3 linked regions of the Saccharomyces cerevisiae S288C genome follow. Changing the gene in region 1 together with any one later gene gives a genetic interaction. Each region holds a gene or a part of one and is shown in the gene's direction. Other genes may lie near its edges.

Evidence for each region. A genetic interaction does not mean that the proteins touch.
Region 2: mutations in KAR9 (region 1) and LDB18 together harm fitness more than expected from each alone (negative genetic interaction), as found in Saccharomyces cerevisiae (6 studies listed by BioGRID, with this or other methods).
Region 3: mutations in KAR9 (region 1) and ARP1 are lethal when combined (synthetic lethality), as found in Saccharomyces cerevisiae (7 studies listed by BioGRID, with this or other methods).

Annotation. Positions count from the first base shown.
Region 1 is NC_001148.4:28,927-37,806, forward strand, and holds KAR9 (Kar9p), read left to right. Parts: upstream 1-4,086; coding exon 4,087-6,021; downstream 6,022-8,880. Other genes in the region: ATP15 (F1F0 ATP synthase subunit epsilon), read left to right, coding at 1,153-1,341; ATP-binding cassette permease MDL2, read left to right, coding at 1,556-3,877; PLC1 (phosphatidylinositol phospholipase C), read left to right, coding at 6,310-8,880. UniProt on the Saccharomyces cerevisiae protein: Involved in karyogamy. Component of a cortical adaptor complex that orients cytoplasmic microtubules. It may be involved in anchoring cytoplasmic microtubules to the cell cortex.
Region 2 is NC_001144.5:36,650-41,705, forward strand, and holds LDB18 (Ldb18p), read left to right. Parts: upstream 1-4,016; coding exon 4,017-4,556; downstream 4,557-5,056. Other genes in the region: FRE6 (putative ferric-chelate reductase), read right to left, coding at 684-2,822; COF1 (cofilin), read right to left, coding at 3,155-3,572, 3,752-3,765; bile acid-transporting ATPase YBT1, read right to left, coding at 4,631-5,056. UniProt on the Saccharomyces cerevisiae protein: May be involved in protein-linked oligosaccharide phosphorylation since the deletion reduces the negative charge of the cell surface.
Region 3 is NC_001140.6:362,499-367,919, reverse strand, and holds ARP1 (actin-related protein 1), read left to right. Parts: upstream 1-3,766; coding exon 3,767-4,921; downstream 4,922-5,421. Other genes in the region: YHR131C (uncharacterized protein), read left to right, coding at 28-2,580; YHR130C (uncharacterized protein), read left to right, coding at 2,620-2,955; FUR1 (uracil phosphoribosyltransferase), read right to left, coding at 5,155-5,421. UniProt on the Saccharomyces cerevisiae protein: Core component of the dynactin complex which assists cytoplasmic dynein by increasing its processivity and by regulation of its cargo binding.

The DNA of each region.
Region 1 (8,880 bases):
AAGAACGAACGTGAAGGTTTGTAGCTCGTTAAAAGGCGATCTTGAATGATGTGAAGAAGTGTAAAAGGCTTAGGAAAGTTGCTTGTTGACCCGGTGTCGTTCAATATACTCCTATTACCCAAATGGCAGTTTCATAGAGTGATATTATTTCGTTGCCTTGTGTAAGTTAGAAGTACTTCTTGTCGATTGTGAATTCGGATAGCCGCTAGAACGCCAATCATTGCGGAGGTTTGCCATCGCATGGATACCATAGCCATCTGCACATTCTAATATAGATTATATTACTTTAGACCATGTCATTTCATAATCGTTGGTTTAAGCGGTGTTGTTTCCACAGTTTGTATGAGAACTTTTGTCCAAAGTAAAGTATCAGTAACGTAATCTGAGCAAACCTACATTAAATCGTAACTCCGCGAGATTCTTTTGTTCAGGTGGATCAGCGGCGTGGTTTACTTCCGATTTGCTCATCGTGCGCATAGCAGCATTTATTCCTCTAATTCGCTCGATAATCAACCTTTCCGCACTACGACGGTGGCAATAGTTGGACCTTAAGATATGCCTATCTGAATACAATTCTTCAACTCACATCAGTGGGACACTAAATAAAGCATATGGTATGAAATACTATGAATTATTGAATTATTGGCAGACACAGCAGCGACAAGTCAGAGTGCTTACAAAAAAAAAAGAGTTGATCCGGCTAAAGAAAGTCTGATTTACGTATTTATCCAGGTTCAAACGGATTGCCAAAAATAGTCGATAACCTCGGAGTAAGCAAAGCAACAATATATTTGTTCTTCGAAAAGGTAAACTTCTTAACTTCTATAGAAGCATTGTACTAGTTCTCTCGAAGAAAAAAACTAAGAAAGCTATAGCTGTATCTTACCAAGCCATGAACTTGAGGAATTGGTAATCCTTATTAGGAAATACGCTAAACTAGGTAATAGCAGATGATTTACTAGCTTACTATCTCACACTAAGTCTGGCAACGCGCTTATTTTTTAATACTTTTATACGAACCAATGAAATTTGATCCTCCCCTTTTTCGTCTAGTTAAATGAAGAGATACAAGTAGGCCTTTCTATTGAGTACTTAGCAAGATATGTATTTCTAAGAAACATCAACAGTTTCAGCCCACAACCGATTCATAAAATGTCTGCCTGGAGGAAAGCTGGTATATCATATGCTGCATATTTGAATGTGGCCGCTCAGGCTATCCGTTCTTCATTGAAAACTGAATTACAAACCGCTAGTGTTCTTAACAGATCGCAAACAGATGCTTTTTATACCCAATATAAAAATGGCACTGCAGCTTCTGAACCCACTCCAATAACAAAATAGTTTAACGCTTCCTGGGAACTGCAGCTCTTTTTTTACTCGCTGATATACATTTTAAATATTCTAGCAACTGTGTATGAAAACTTACGTACTTTTATACGGGAAACTAATAATGACTACAATGATATTGAATACTGGCCGCTTCGAAGAGTGGTATAAAGTTTGTATCATTGCATTAAAAGAAAAAGAAATATATGTCCCATCATCGCCAATCGCAATGTTGAATGGTCGTTTACCACTTTTGCGGCTGGGCATATGCAGAAACATGCTGTCCCGTCCCCGACTGGCTAAACTGCCATCTATAAGGTTTCGGTCTTTGGTCACCCCTTCTTCATCGCAGCTCATTCCTCTCAGTCGGTTGTGTTTAAGGTCACCTGCAGTTGGAAAATCACTAATTTTACAAAGTTTTAGATGTAATTCATCCAAAACAGTTCCAGAAACTTCTCTGCCTTCAGCCTCTCCCATATCTAAAGGATCAGCAAGGTCGGCACATGCAAAGGAGCAATCTAAAACTGATGACTATAAAGATATAATAAGGTTATTTATGTTGGCGAAACGGGATTGGAAACTGCTTCTTACAGCCATACTTCTTTTAACCATATCATGTTCCATAGGCATGTCTATTCCTAAAGTCATAGGTATTGTCCTTGACACACTTAAGACGTCATCTGGATCAGATTTTTTTGATTTGAAGATACCGATTTTTTCTTTGCCTTTATATGAGTTTCTTTCCTTTTTTACTGTTGCTTTACTGATTGGTTGTGCTGCTAATTTTGGTAGATTTATATTATTGAGGATACTAAGTGAGCGTGTTGTTGCACGCCTAAGGGCAAATGTCATTAAAAAAACGCTTCATCAAGACGCAGAATTCTTCGACAACCATAAAGTTGGGGATTTAATTTCTCGTTTAGGATCTGATGCTTATGTTGTTTCAAGATCAATGACCCAGAAGGTCTCGGATGGGGTCAAAGCCCTAATTTGTGGGGTTGTTGGCGTGGGGATGATGTGTTCTTTGTCACCTCAACTATCAATATTGTTACTATTCTTCACTCCACCTGTTCTTTTTAGTGCCTCAGTGTTCGGGAAGCAAATTAGAAACACCTCTAAAGACCTTCAAGAAGCTACTGGTCAATTGACTAGAGTCGCTGAAGAACAACTCTCTGGTATCAAGACGGTTCAGTCGTTTGTTGCTGAAGGTAATGAATTGTCTAGGTATAACGTTGCAATTAGAGATATTTTTCAGGTGGGAAAAACTGCGGCATTTACAAACGCAAAGTTTTTTACTACAACTAGTCTCTTAGGTGACCTAAGTTTTTTAACCGTCCTTGCGTATGGCTCCTATCTTGTTTTACAATCACAGCTCTCCATTGGTGATCTGACTGCATTTATGCTGTACACAGAATATACGGGGAATGCGGTATTCGGCCTTTCTACCTTCTATTCGGAAATTATGCAGGGTGCTGGGGCCGCTTCCAGGTTGTTTGAATTAACAGATAGGAAACCTTCCATTTCACCGACTGTGGGACACAAGTATAAACCAGATCGTGGTGTTATCGAATTTAAAGATGTTTCATTTAGCTACCCTACAAGGCCTTCTGTTCAAATATTCAAGAATTTAAATTTTAAAATTGCGCCAGGATCGAGTGTTTGTATTGTGGGCCCTTCAGGTCGTGGTAAATCTACAATTGCACTCTTACTGCTAAGATATTATAATCCCACTACTGGGACTATTACGATAGATAACCAAGATATCTCTAAATTGAATTGTAAATCCCTAAGAAGGCATATTGGTATCGTTCAGCAAGAGCCGGTACTGATGTCAGGTACTATTAGGGATAATATCACTTATGGGTTGACATATACCCCAACAAAGGAAGAAATCAGGTCAGTAGCAAAGCAGTGCTTTTGCCATAACTTTATCACAAAATTTCCGAACACATACGATACGGTAATTGGTCCTCACGGCACCTTACTAAGTGGAGGACAAAAGCAGCGTATTGCGATTGCAAGGGCTCTAATCAAAAAGCCAACTATTTTGATTCTTGATGAAGCTACATCAGCTTTAGATGTTGAAAGTGAAGGAGCCATTAACTATACGTTTGGTCAACTAATGAAATCAAAATCGATGACTATTGTTAGCATCGCGCACAGGCTAAGTACGATCAGAAGATCAGAGAATGTTATTGTCCTTGGCCATGATGGATCAGTGGTAGAAATGGGCAAATTCAAAGAATTGTATGCGAATCCAACAAGTGCTTTATCGCAATTACTTAATGAGAAAGCGGCTCCTGGGCCATCTGACCAACAACTGCAAATAGAGAAGGTCATCGAAAAGGAAGATTTGAATGAGAGTAAGGAGCATGATGACCAGAAAAAGGACGATAATGACGATAATGATAATAATCATGATAACGACAGCAATAACCAGTCTCCAGAGACGAAAGACAATAATTCAGATGATATTGAAAAATCTGTCGAACATCTCCTGAAAGACGCGGCAAAGGAGGCTAATCCAATTAAGATCACACCACAACCGTGAGTCATCCGCATCGCATATACCCATTCTTATCTCGCACATTTAAATATATACTATATATAATACTGTTAAATGCCAAATAAAAAGGATTTTCATTACCCGAATCGATACTTTTGGTAGCATAAACAAATAACATTGAAACAATAACAAAGTGTAATGTGGCCGCACGAATCTTTGTCTGTAACAGCCTTAAAGATTTCAGTAGCACTGCCATGGATAATGATGGACCCAGATCTATGACCATTGGGGATGACTTCCAAGAGAACTTTTGTGAACGTTTAGAAAGAATTCACAATACATTACATTCAATAAACGATTGCAACTCATTGAATGAGAGTACCACAAGTATATCAGAGACATTGTTAGTTCAATTTTATGATGATTTGGAGAACGTTGCCTCGGTAATTCCCGACTTAGTCAACAAGAAAAGACTGGGAAAAGACGATATTTTGTTGTTTATGGACTGGTTATTATTGAAAAAATATATGCTATATCAATTTATTAGTGACGTTCATAATATTGAGGAAGGTTTTGCTCATTTGTTGGATTTACTAGAGGATGAATTCTCGAAGGACGATCAGGATAGCGACAAATACAATCGATTTAGCCCGATGTTTGACGTCATAGAAGAATCTACACAAATTAAGACTCAGTTGGAGCCATGGCTTACTAACTTGAAGGAATTATTGGATACGTCATTGGAATTTAACGAAATTTCAAAGGATCATATGGATACATTACATAAAATCATTAATAGCAATATATCGTATTGTCTGGAAATTCAGGAAGAAAGGTTCGCGTCCCCGATACGGCATACTCCATCATTTACCCTAGAACAACTAGTCAAGTTATTAGGAACGCATACGGAGACAACTGAGCCAAAGGTACCAAAATTTTCTCCGGCAGAAGATATTTTATCAAGAAAGTTCTTGAACCTAAAAAAAAATATCCCTCCAATTGAAAAAAGTTTGACTGATATCCTACCTCAAAGAATTGTGCAATTTGGGCACCGGAATATAACAAACATAACTACTTTGCAAACAATCTTGCAAAAAAAATACGAGCTGATAATGAAAGATTATAGATTTATGAATTCAGAGTTTAGGGAATTGAAAGTCGAACTAATCGACAAACGTTGGAATATACTCTTTATTAATTTAAATCATGAACTATTATACATTCTTGATGAGATAGAAAGGTTGCAGTCGAAATTACTGACAACAAAGTATACCAAAGATATCACTATAAGGCTCGAGAGGCAATTGGAGAGAAAATCAAAAACTGTTTCTAAGACATTCAATATTATTTACAGAGCATTGGAATTCTCACTTTTGGACGCTGGCGTCGCATCGAAGACAAATGAATTAGCTCAAAGATGGCTGAATATCAAGCCTACAGCGGATAAAATTCTAATCAAATCCTCCGCTTCAAACAAAATAGCTACTAGCAAGAAGAAGATTCCAAAACCGAAATCATTAGGCTTTGGGCGACCGAATAGTGTTATTGGAACTATAACCCAGGATTTCCAGGAGAGAGTCGCCATTAATGAAGGTGACAGTAATAAAACACCGGAAAATTCAACTACAGTGGCTTTGAAAGGTAAAAAGCTTGGTAAAGCGTTACTGCAGAAGATGAATATTAAACCTGCAACAAGCCCAAATTCATCAAATGCGATTAATCCATTTTTTGATCCGGAGTCGCCAAACAAAGGAAAACTGATACTAAGTAGTGTTCCTCCCTTACCTTATGACGAAACCGATGAAACCACCCTCCGTGTTTCTCGTGGGGAAAATGAAAAGTCACCAGACTCCTTCATTACATCTCGGCATGAAAATAAAGTACAGATTACAGAAACTCCTTTGATGGCAAAGAATAAGTCTGTGCTTGACATCGAAAAAGATAAATGGAATCATTACCGGTCCTTGCCCTCTAGGATCCCTATATACAAGGATAAAGTGGTGAAAGTCACCGTAGAAAACACACCGATAGCAAAGGTTTTCCAGACTCCGCCAACAAAAATCACGACACCTAATAGTCAAGTTTGGGTCCCTTCGACAAGAAGAAGAACCCGATTGAGGCCTCCCACCCCCTTATCACAGTTACTTTCACCAAGAGAAGGGCGTTTAGATAAAACCCCAACTTATTGATACTAACCTAAAACTGTATACTTATACATTTTTATATATCCTCCCTCTCACCCTCTCCATTCATAGAATTTGTAATACTAGTTTAAATAATGTAATATTATGTGTAATTTTAAATAGTCCATGAAGATTCCGCACGTTTTCATTTTACAGTTTTTGACACCTTTACCCGACGCTTTATAAAAAAAATAGTATAAGCATCACGACATAAGCAGCCTCAGGTCATTAAAACAATAAAAGACTGGGAATTATAAACGTACAACGGTAAGGTCATTCACGCAGTGTATATGAATGACTGAAAGTGCTATAGATGACCAAAGGTTTAATCTTACAAAGGAGTTACAACGACACTCATGCAGAGATCAAGGGAAAATAACACAAAAGGATGATGCTTTAGATTTTATAAGTTACAGTTCTTTTCAATCCTCTTTTAATACTGACCAAAAAAGCGCGAACAATGGAAGTACTGTGAGAAGAAGCATAAGGTCGATTTTTAGAAGAGCAGCCGAATTGCCTAGAGTCCATATGGGGCCTCTTACTTATTCACATGGGATAAATGAGCTTGTTAACAAGAAATTAAGAAAAGACTGTGATCTCAGCACGCTATGTCGCGTATTGCAAAGAGGAATCAGGATGATTAGGATGACAAGAAGAAGAAGGAAGTTCTATGAATTTAAATTAATCAATAACAACGGGCAAATAATATGGAAAGATGGTTCGAAGTATCTGGAATTAGACTCCGTTAAAGACATCAGAATCGGTGATACGGCGAGTACTTATCAAGAGGAAGTAGATCCGAAAAGATTGAGATCGGACAGTAAACTTTGGATTGCTATTATTTATAAGGTTTCCAACAAATTGAAAGCGTTACACGTAGTTGCTTTGAATGAATTGGACTTTAACACATTCTTAAGCTGCATTTGCGGTTTAGTGAAGTTAAGGAGGGAATTAATGGAAAGCATACTTTTGCCTGATAATTCGCAATTCGCTAGGATACATTGGCAAATTACTGTTTCTGAAAAAGAGGAAGATGAGAAAAAGGACACATTGAGCTTTGCAGATGTGAAGAAACTATGTGATAAATTTCATATTTATGTGTCAACTGGTCAATTGTTAGAGTTTTTCCAATTAGCAGACATCAATCATAACGGACTATTAAATTATTTTGAATTTGAAAAGTTCATTAAAATCTTAAAGAATAGGAAAGAGGTAAATATGATTTGGTCTAAATTTACAAAACCTCCACACTCCCACTTATCATTTGAAAATTTTTTTCAATTTTTAATTACAGAGCAGCATGAGCAAGTGGATCGTCAAACTGCATGGTCATATTTTATTAAGTACAGAGAACCGACTCAGCTGACGATGGGGCAAGATGGTTTTACCAAGTTCTTGAAGGAGCAACCATATTTGGTGGAGGTTAAAGAGGAGTTATATTCAAAGCCATTAAACCATTATTTTATTGCATCTTCACATAATACTTATTTATTGGGGAAACAAATTGCAGAAACTCCATCTGTGGAGGGATATATTCAAGTCCTACAACAAGGTTGTAGGTGCGTAGAAATTGATATATGGGATGGTGAAAATGGGCCAGTGGTATGCCATGGATTTTTAACGTCAGCTATTCCCTTAAAAACAGTTATACGCGTGATAAAGAAGTACGCTTTTATAACGTCTCCGTATCCTTTGATTATTTCACTGGAAATAAACTGTAACAAGGATAATCAAAAATTGGCAAGCCTGATAATGAGAGAGGTTTTAGCAGAACAGCTGTACTTTGTTGGCACAAGAACTGATAAACTGCCATCACCAAGGGAATTAAAACATAAAATACTGTTGAAATCCAAGAAGACGAGTGAAGCAACTAGAGGTCTTAGCGTTAATGAGCCATTTCCATCTTCTTTTAGTTCTTCTTACGAATCAGCTAATGAACAGGAATTAAGAATGAAAGATGACTCCACGAACAGTAGTAGCGCAACAAATTCTTCTAGTATGCAACGCATCAAAAGAATTGGATTAAAAAAGCACGCTGATATAATTAATGATGTTTCTAACATTTCTGGAATACATGGCATCAAGTTCAGGAATTTCTCTTTACCAGAGTCCAAAACGATAGCGCATTGTTTTTCACTGAATGAGCGCAAAGTAGAATACATGATAAAAGACAAACACTTAAAATTATCGTTGGATAAACATAATAGAAGATATTTGATGAGAGTCTATCCTCACGTTTTACGATACAAATCATCAAATTTTAACCCAATACCTTTTTGGAAGGCCGGTGTACAAATGGTGGCTACGAATTGGCAAACTAATGATATTGGACAGCAACTTAATCTGGCAATGTTTCAAATATTAGATCACCAACCTGATGGAAGTTTTAAATCAGGATACGTGCTAAAACCAAAAAAGTTGCTACCTGTAGTAACAAAGGCGAAAATGATTCCATTAATTTACGAACATTTTGAAAATGGTAGTGATCCTGTTACTGTTAAAATTCGAATTTTATCTACACAGTTATTGCCCAGATTGAATGATACATCGCCAAGCAGAAATAACACCAATTCCTTTGTTAAAGTGGAGTTTCATACCGATGACGAGCCGACAATGCCCATCTCAATCGATAAGGGTACAAGGATTTCTGCCACTGAAGCATCCACTAAGAGTTCTCAAGGGAATGGATTCAACCCAATATGGGATGCTGAAGTTTCTATCACATTGAAAGATACAGACCTCACATTTATAAAATTCATGGTTATCTCTGAAGAGACCCAGATTGCATCTGTTTGCCTTAAGCTGAACTATTTGAGGATGGGATATCGTCACATTCCGTTGTTTAACATGGAGGGGGAACAATAC
Region 2 (5,056 bases), on another chromosome or scaffold:
TAGGAGTTTAAAGAAAAACATCTAGAAGGATTGGAGGAGGTAAGTCATTATTATGGCGGTGCTCTTTTAGCGGGAAAAAAAAAAATACACCTACGACGTTAAAACAGATCGTGCTGTCGTCTCAGCGGCAGTAAAAGTACTGTAGTAGTTACGGTGCACGCAGATGCAATGCTAATTAAATAATCATGCTCCCATTTTTAAGAAGCAGAAAAAGGCCGCAGTAATTTGAGCCGTGAAAAGATTTCGGAGGGTTGATTCTTAACATTTTCCAAAAAAATGTCCTTTGGTCTGTTTGCTTGGGTCTGAAAAGAAGGACTGCAGCGCCACCTCCACTGGTTAAGGACAAAATCCATACTTATTCCATCTTTCTCGGGACATATTTTCCTGAGACAAAAGACCGTAGAACTTCAAAGACTCGTTCCCAGAAAGGGATTTAGAGTTAATTTTTGCTCGGCATCAAGCCGGAAAAATTCAGGCGCCGCTTAGTAATTAATTGCAAGTAAAGAAGTACCGGATTTATTAGACATCGTCTTAGCAAGCAAATTCCTGAAAGCTAAAACGCAAATAATTAACTAAAAATAGTTGCTAAAGAGCACCTTTTATGCGGTACATAAAAGTTTTTAGTGCCGTAGATATATGTAGATATAGGTGGGCGTAGGATCAGAAGGAGCCGGAGAGAAGATTTACCAACACTGATATTCCTCGAAATACTCTATAATTCTCTCTGGGTAACCGAGGAGTTTTTGAGAAACGGTGTTTCTAACATCGTCCACCAGAACAGGAGGGCCGCAGCACACGACCGCTAATGAATCTCCAGGCGGCGTACTTTTTATTGCGTTTTCAATTACATTGCTAAAATTAGGTCTTGCATTGCCGATGTGGGCGAAGCTTGTCAGTTCGGTCATTATATCATCAAAATGTATTAATTGGTCTCGTGCGTTTGCTGCCTTTGTAACAGCTGTTTTCTGTGTAAGGTAAACCTGCACGTTGACGTGGGATCGGCTATTTTTTAGCTCTAGTATCTCGGATTTATAGCCGTTAAGAAAAGAAGGATTTTTGATCGCCATGATCAAATCTATACTCTTGGGTTTATCAGGGTTTCGTGACAGCTTAATGGCATGATCTAATGGACCAGGCAAGCCTGTTCCTCCACTTAGTAACAGCAAATGGTCGAATTTATCGAGGTGAAGATTACTGGGCCCATAAGGTCCCTCAATGGCCACTCGGAGTTGTAATTTACCATTTAAAGATTGCAAAATATGGTTATAAATGAATCTAGTGAGACCACTTTTAGGTTTGATCACTAAAACACACTTCTCACCTTCGTCGATAATGGTAAATGGATGGCATTGCCAAAATACCAATGGATGTAAAAAATAAATGAAACAATATTGACCCGGTTTCGAATGCCATCTCCGGTTATATTTGGGTATGATTACTTTAAACATTTCATCGTGCGGGTTGTTGCTGGTGTTCAAATTGATTAGTGTTGCTTTCGGAAATCTAAACTGCAAAATGTTCCATATTCTGAAAAGCTTTTCCAGCCCCCAAATGAGCAAGGATACCACTATCCATTCTTTCCAACCGTTGAAAATTTTGACGTGTTGCCAACAACAGTAAAAGAACAAAAGGGCTAGTATGATGTGGGTGTACAGGAAAAATTCGTAATGTCTTTTCCTTACTATTCCGAGCGATAGAACTAGTAGAACGCAAAGCACTGTTATGGATGCAATACCAAACTTCCAATAGAGCTGTTTGTTGCTTATTTTGAAGGCATGGTTGATAATTGCGAATAATGAATAAGAAAGCGAATGTATCGTTGCGTTTAAGACCATGATTCTACCGATCCATTTATGGAAACTAATAAAGGAATTGAACTTGACTCCTGTTAAAAATTCGAGAAAACTATTCCTTGCCGTAAAAATGATAATGAGAGGGAACTGAGTAAACGCCAGTATCCCAGATCTATCAGCCAACAGTCTTGTAAACTGCGACAGGTGACTGTTGAAAATGAGGTTATATGGGTCTATGATGTAACTTATGGACAAAAATATGATGTTCGCCAATGTGTATCCAAAAATGATCCATGCCTCCAAGGAATTCGGCATCAGTCCCGTAAAGACTTCCACGTTTAGAAACTTGAAGTGATTAGCGTGCTTATCTACTAAAAACGTAGGCAACACAAAATGGCCCCGAATATAATTGACGAACCGGCTTGCAAATAGCGCTCGATTCAGGCCGTTATAGTGACTCATATGGAAGAAGACGGCGATAATACCCACTATGACGAAGTAGTAAGTTAAATATGCACCATAAACACTGCTGATATCTAAATTATAGGCATGCGCATGAAAAGCTCGTATCCATCTAGATCTTGTCTCACGATCGACTCGAATGGATGTCGATAAACTTTCAATAGAACCATAGTCTTCCAAAGCGTGAGAAGAAGCATTATTTAAAGATGAGTAGTATTGCTCCAGTGAAATATTGCTAAACTTTTTATCGACAAACGAGCACGTTTTTCGTACGTTACCCAAGCTTTCTTCGAAACTTGTGTTGTCCATGGGAATAATCTGGTCTGTAAGCGAATTGAAGATACAAAGTGACCAAGTATCAAACGCTGGTGAATAAGAGCATATGGTAGAATAGAAACCCGGTACGACGGAGCTATCAAATGACCACTTCAGAGTATTTATATAGGATGCGCATGCCAGCACAGCGTTGGATTCCAAATGGTCTTTTTTTTCAGTGTGTGGTAATTTTATATTAAAAGCCTTTGTTAAAGATATCAGCCACGTTAAAAACAGAAGCGTTCTATGCATATTCAACGAGCTATGGTCGTCATGCTTCACTTTAGAAGATTATAGAAAAATCATTGCTGCCTGGTTCGATGACCTTGTATCTTTTCTTGATCTACATGGCCAGTATTTCCGTTCTGAATTTAGAATTACAAATATGGGTGCAAAAACAATGCCCACTAGCCGGGGTGTACGGGACCTTAAATCTAAGTATTGTGTTTTAGATAGAGTTGCGAAGAGAAAATTATAATTATAATAATTCTATACATGTATTCTGTATATATATGACGATTTTATATATAGATATACATTTTCATTTTTCTTGAAGATTGTTGTCATTTGTGAAATCATTTACCTTAATGAGAACCAGCGCCTCTGCTGACTCTTTCCAAAACAGAATCGTAAGAAACTTCGGAAAAATCAGTACCTTGAACATCGGTAGAGACACCGTTTAAGGCTCTTCTTAAGGCATCCTTGGAGGATGCATAGACCATCTTAGATCTGACTGGAGCAGTGTCTGGAGACCAAGTGAAGAAAACAATCTTGGATCTCTTACCTTCATTACCATTAATTTCGTATTCAAAATCGTAAATGGCGTAAAGACAGTCGTTTTCTGGCAATTTCTCTAAGAAGGCATCGTAAGATGGGTCAGTAGAGGTTTCCTTGACAACGATTTCGGTTTTAGCATCGTTCAATCCGAATAAAATAAATTTGTATTTTTTACCCAATTTCAAGTCATTGAAAGCGGTAAGGGATTCATCAGCAACAGCAACACTACACAGAAACTTCACATTTTCCTGGCTTCTTATGAATTTTTTCCCCCACATTCCTTTTAAAGTTCCATGTTAAAAAGGGAGGAAAGAAAGGACATAAGAGAGCGAGATAAAACAGCATCATGTCAATTAGTTAGTAATTGATAGTTTACACAGGAGTACAAATGAAATTTAGCATACCCAGATCTAGACATCTTCTTTTGTTAGTTTTTTGTTTATGTATGTTTTGAAATCTGAAGTTTACGTAGTTGCTAACCAGTCTTTTCTTGTTTCCTCTTTTTCTTCCAATTTTGTCATCAAACAGGGGCGGCGTCACCCGAATATTGTTCTTATTACCCGGATATTAGGTAATTTAGAGGTACTGCATATAGTATAAGTGATTGATGAACTTATAGAATGTTCTCTCGAGCTTCCAAGGCCATTAGCCTCTACCAAAGGAAGTTTGATGCCTGGTCTTAAGCTTGTTGAAGCTTTAGAATACAGGTGTGACCGATTGGAGCGGCTTATAGGCGCCGGATACAGCGCGAATTCCGATGTTTCAGTGCAATTAGATGAACTATACAATCAGTTACATCGTCTATATTTCCAGGGTCTAAAGTATTCTCAAGATCTCCTGCAACTCTTTAATACTTTCATGGCTGAAGACATCGAGAACGTGGGAGCTCCTGATGATATTTGTATTTTTGCTAGTTGCTTTGACGATATTTATACATTATATAGTGCATTTGACGAACTAAACAGCCAATATATGGAGTTTTGCCAAATCAGTAAAAGTTCATTGGATCAGATTTCCTTCAAAGACGCAAATATTGAAACGAAACAGTTGAAGAAGTTACCCGAGTTGGTGGATAACTGCAACATAATGATTTTGAGGTCAATTGCAATTCTAAACCGTTTCATCGACTGGAATATTGAAGTTAACGGATTCTTCCAGTTCCAGAAAAAGAGGCTGTTGAATTTACAAAAGGTAATTTATAGTACGTGAACATGTGTGCGTATATACATATATATATATATATATATATATATATATATATATATACTTTAGCATCGAAACAGCTAGTCCTTTTTAGAGTTCAATTTTTCCACAAAGGCTTTTTTAGCCAATTCAATTAGGATATCCAATTCTCCACTATGCTCACACATGCTATAAAAGGCACTTTGTTTGTTAAGTAACAAAGAATATGGGTGATCATACTCTTTTACCTCACCTGCATCCATCACCAAAATTTTATCATAATCGATAACAGATCTCAACCTATGTGCAATTGTCAAAATTGTACTACCTTGGAACTCTTTTCTTATGGTTTCTTGGATCTTCGCATCGGAACTGTAGTCGATGGACGCTGTAGCTTCGTCCAGCAATATGATCTTTGGACTCCTCAGTAAAGATCTAGCAAGGCACATCAATTGGCGCTGTCCTTGAGACAAATTGGATCCACCTTCGCTAATTTCACTACTTAAATCCAAGAATTTATTAACATT
Region 3 (5,421 bases), on another chromosome or scaffold:
TGCATACAAGTTGTTCGTTTGTTAAGGATGGCTCTGCCAATAGAGGGCAAATTATCCATGGCAAATAATAGGATCGAAAGGTTAAAATCACCCTCGTCTTCATCAACATGCTCAATGGACGAGGTTCTCATTACTTCAAGCAATAACAGCAGCTCTATATGTTTAGAGACCATGCGTCAACTTCCTCGGGAAGGTGTTTCTGGTCAGATAAATATTATCAAGGAAACTGCAGCTTCGTCCTCTTCTCACGCTGCTCTCTTCATCAAGCAAGATCTTTACGAGCATATAGATCCCCTCCCTGCTTATCCACCGAGCTATGATCTAGTAAATCCCAATAAAGAGGTCCGCTTTCCTATATTTGGTGACACGGCACCATGCCCAAAGTCTTCTCTCCCTCCTTTGTATGCACCTGCAGTATATGAATTGACGTTGATATCCTTAAAATTGGAAAGGCTTTCACCTTATGAAATTTCTAGTAACAGGAGCTGGAGGAATTTCATCATTGAAATTAATTCGACTCAACTAAATTTTTACCATATTGACGAATCTTTGACGAAACACATTAGGAATTATTCAAGCGGGGAAACAAAATCTGAAAAAGAGGATAGAATTCATAGTGACTTGGTCCATCGCAGTGATCAATCACAACATCTGCATCACCGTCTCTTCACTCTACCGACGAGATCAGCTTCGGAGTTTAAAAAAGCAGATCAAGAACGGATCTCTTATAGAGTGAAACGTGATCGATCGCGGTATTTAACCGATGAAGCTCTTTACAAGTCTTTCACTTTACAAAATGCAAGATTTGGGATACCAACGGATTATACCAAGAAGAGTTTTGTGTTAAGAATGTCTTGTGAAAGCGAACAGTTTTTATTACGGTTCTCTCATATAGATGATATGATTGACTGGTCTATGTACCTATCAATCGGGATATCTGTGTCTTTGGACTTGGAAGTCAGGGAGTATCCAGATTATCGAATTGTTCCCAGAAGAAGGAGAAGGAGAAGGAGGAGAAGGAGGAGAAGAAGACACACTCATAGAAGTGAGAGTTCGATGGGGTCTTTTTCGCAGAGATTCATTCGTTCGAATTCCAGACCGGACTTAATCCAAAGATATAGTACCGGGTCTAGCACTAATAACAATACAACTATCAGGGAACGCTCGAATACTTTCACAGCTGGTCTACTAGATCATTACTGCACTGGCCTCTCAAAGACGCCTACAGAGGCATTGATATCTTCGGCTGCATCAGGAGAATCCAGTGATAACAGTACCCTGGGATCAACAAGGTCATTATCTGGTTGCTCAGCTTCCCGTTCGATTGCATCTAGAAGTTTAAAATTTAAAATTAAGAACTTTTTCAGGCCTAAAAATTCTTCACGCACAGAAAAGCTTCACAGACTCAGGTCCAACTCAAGTAACTTAAATAGTGTTATTGAAACGGAAGAAGATGATGAACACCATGAATCAAGCGGGGGAGATCATCCAGAGCCTGGTGTTCCAGTAAATACCACCATTAAAGTAGAGCGTCCAATGCACAGAAATAGAGCTATTTCCATGCCCCAAAGACAGTCATTGAGGCGTGCAATTAGCGAGGAGGTTGTCCCCATCAAATTTCCAAATAGCACAGTGGGTGAATCAGTTCATTCACCCTCTCCTATTGAGCATCTTTCCGTTGATGGCTGCGAGATTATGCTGCAATCACAAAATGCGGTTATGAAAGAGGAATTACGGAGTGTTGCGTCGAATTTGGTAGCCAATGAAAGGGATGAGGCATCTATTAGACCTAAACCTCAAAGCTCTTCGATATACCTATCAGGATTAGCTCCTAATGGGGAATCCGCCACAGATTTATCCCAAAGCAGTAGGTCGTTATGTCTCACAAACCGTGACGCTGAAATCAATGACGATGAAAGCGCTACTGAGACCGATGAGGACGAAAATGACGGTGAAACCGATGAATATGCTGGCGATGATACTAATGATGATACTGATGACAGTAATATTGGTTATGCTTATGGCAGTGAAAGTGATTATTCATGTTTAATTGAAGAACGAATAAGAAATCGAAGGCGAGCATCTTCTACTCTAAGTTGCTTCTCCAATATACCTTACGGAACGGATGATATTAAATGGAAACCAGCTATTAAGGAAATTTCAAGAAGGCGTTATTTGAGGGATTCTCTGAAGTGCATCAAACCATTTCTAGATAGTAACGACTGTTTGGGTAAGGTTATCTATATTCCAGTTTCGGGACCAACCTTTGAAACAAGTAATAAAATTCACTTTAGCAACCGCCAGAGCTTACAGAAGCAGAAGAATCATTTTTTAAAAGGCTTCATCGTGGGACCTACGGCGTTGATAGAACTTAATTGTAAAAATAAGAATGCAATTGTTGGAACAACAAAGGACGCTGAAGATCATGGGGAGGACGACGGTGACGGTGATGATGGTGAGGATGATGATGACGACGACGACGATGATGATGATGATGACGACGACGAAGACGACGACGATGATGATGATGATGATGATGACGACGACGATGACGATGATGATGGACAGATTACTGCATAAGCTGTGATGCAGTAATCTTGTTTTTGCAGAATTAATATCATGACTAAAAGTATATATATTATCATCGGATATATGCTACATGATGAGGAGTTTTTCTATTTCTTTTTTATTTCATTCTATACACTTTGGATCGTGTTTTTTCTTTTGCACTTGAGTTTCTTTTCAACATTATCATTCGGTATATTTCACGATTTTGACACCGATGTTTACATAAAAGTGGGTAATTATATTTTGCATTTTCTCGAATTGAGTAAAAATAGTAACCTTTTAAAGAATTCTTCAGAAATGTTAAAGCATTTCCGATTGGCATCATTGATGTATATGTACGTATATACTCAGATGATTTGCCCCTCGTTACTTGGCATCAGGAATTAGCAAGGGCTGTAAAAAATAAGTTTAAATATATATAAATGGTTGCGAACTAAGACAGTATTGTTTTCAACTATTACTTTGTCATTGACTAGTCTATACAAACTAATGATTTTCTACTAGGTCTTACTTCGATTTCTCGACACCGTACTCCAAGAGCTAAAGCTTTCAATACGTATGGATTGCTTCGTTGCTCAGAAAGGTTAACATTAATCATTTTAAGGTTTTTGTTTATAGACAGTACTTTATTTTCGCTTCATTTTTCCAGTTTATATTTCAATTTAACAAAGGCAATGCCTCTAATTTCAAACAAGCAACATAATACAGTATTTATTGATCAACGTTTGATTAGAAGTTGAATTTTGAATGGGTATCGTCTGGTAATTCCAAAGAATAAAAGAAATACCTGTTTTACCATGATAAACAGTGTTTATTATACCACGTTAAAAATCATTTCTTGAAGGTAACGCTTTCATCAACCTATAATAAGACTACAGAAAAAAGCTCATAAAAGAATGCTAAGTAGCATAATGTTCTGAACAAGAGCTCAAAGCAAAGGACACAGTACACCTGTGTGACGGTGAGTTTCCTATTGCCTTCTCTTTTTCCGTTTGTATTAATCTTTTCAAGAAAAAGTTCATTTCCAAAGTGGCCATTTTCGCGATGCACATCAATAATGATAAACACCTTTATTGAATAATAGCGAAGCAAATAGCAGATATTCCCAATAAAACAGCAAATTAATAAAAGGGCATAGACCAAGGAGTACATGCTAATGCTATACCACGAATTGAGGAATTAGAAAGAAAGTTAGCCAATGGACCAGCTAAGTGACAGCTATGCTTTGTACAATCAACCGGTAGTGATCGACAATGGTTCTGGGATCATAAAAGCAGGATTTAGTGGTGAGGAAAGGCCTAAAGCACTGGAATATTGTCTCGTAGGAAATACCAAATATGATAAAGTTATGCTCGAAGGTCTGCAAGGAGATACATTTATTGGAAACAATGCCCAAAAACTGCGTGGATTATTAAAATTACGATACCCCATAAAGCACGGCGTGGTGGAAGATTGGGATTCTATGGAACTAATATGGTCATATGTGTTAAATGAAGTCCTACAGTTGCAAAATATAGGTGAGCATCCTTTATTAATTACGGAAGCCCCGATGAATCCTTTGAAGAATAGAGAGCAGATGGCTCAAGTATTGTTCGAGACCTTTGACGTATCGGCTTTGTACGTTTCAAACCCTGCTGTTCTGTCATTATATGCTAGTGGGAGAACTACAGGTTGTGTAGTTGACTGTGGTGAAGGATACTGTAGCACTGTTCCCATATATGACGGCTTTGCATTACCTGCGTCTATGATGAGGATGGATATTGGAGGAGCAGATATCACAGAGCAGTTACAATTTCAACTACGGAAATCAGCTGGTGTTTCGTTGTTTTCCAGCAGTGAACGAGAGATTGTTCGCACGATGAAAGAGAAAGTTTGTTATTTGGCCAAGAATATTAAAAAGGAAGAGGAGAAATACTTACAAGGTACTCAAGATTTAATCTCGACATTCAAATTGCCCGACGGGAGGTGTATAGAGGTGGGGAATGATCGATATCGTGCTCCAGAAATATTATTTTCACCTCAAATCATCGGCTTAGGGTACGATGGATTATCTGATATGTGCATGCAATCTATTTGGAAAGTCGATCTGGATTTAAGGAAACCTTTACTGTCATCGATAATCCTAAGTGGCGGAACTACAACGCTTAAAGGCTTTGGAGACCGAATGCTATGGGATTTGGAGGCATTAACCAAAGGAACATCCAAGATAAAGATTATAGCCCCTTCAGAAAGAAAATATACTACATGGATTGGTGGTTCTATTTTAACGGGGTTATCTACCTTTCAAAGACTTTGGACCAAAAAGTCAGATTGGCTAGAGGACAGTACCCGTGTTTATTCGAACCTAATGTAAGAAACAGAGTCGTTAGATTTTTCAAGCATATTTGTTATAAATAGCCATTGATACGTTTATATTATTTTTACAAAAAAAGGTAATTAAACATGCATGAACAACAAAATTGATAGTAGAAGAGACGGCAACAAAGGTTTAAAACGAGAAAGGAAATTTAAAACAGTAGAAACCAAAAGTTGATATGCGGCTTCAGCCGTTCTGAACCTTCAAGATGGTGTTCGGGTGTGATTTATTTAAACACAGTAGTATCTGTCACCAAAGTCACCCAACCCTGGAACTAGATACTTGTTTTCATCTAGACCTCTGTCGAGGGCACCAGTAACAATTCTGACCTCTGGGAAGGCGGCATGGTATTTTTCAATCCCTTCCTTACTACAGATTAGGTTTAAGAAGTAAATTCTCTCTGGCTTAACACCTCTCTTAATCAAGACTTCTGTAGCCATGATAGCACTACCACCGGTGGCCAGCATTGGGTCTAATAGGAAGACATACCTTTCAGA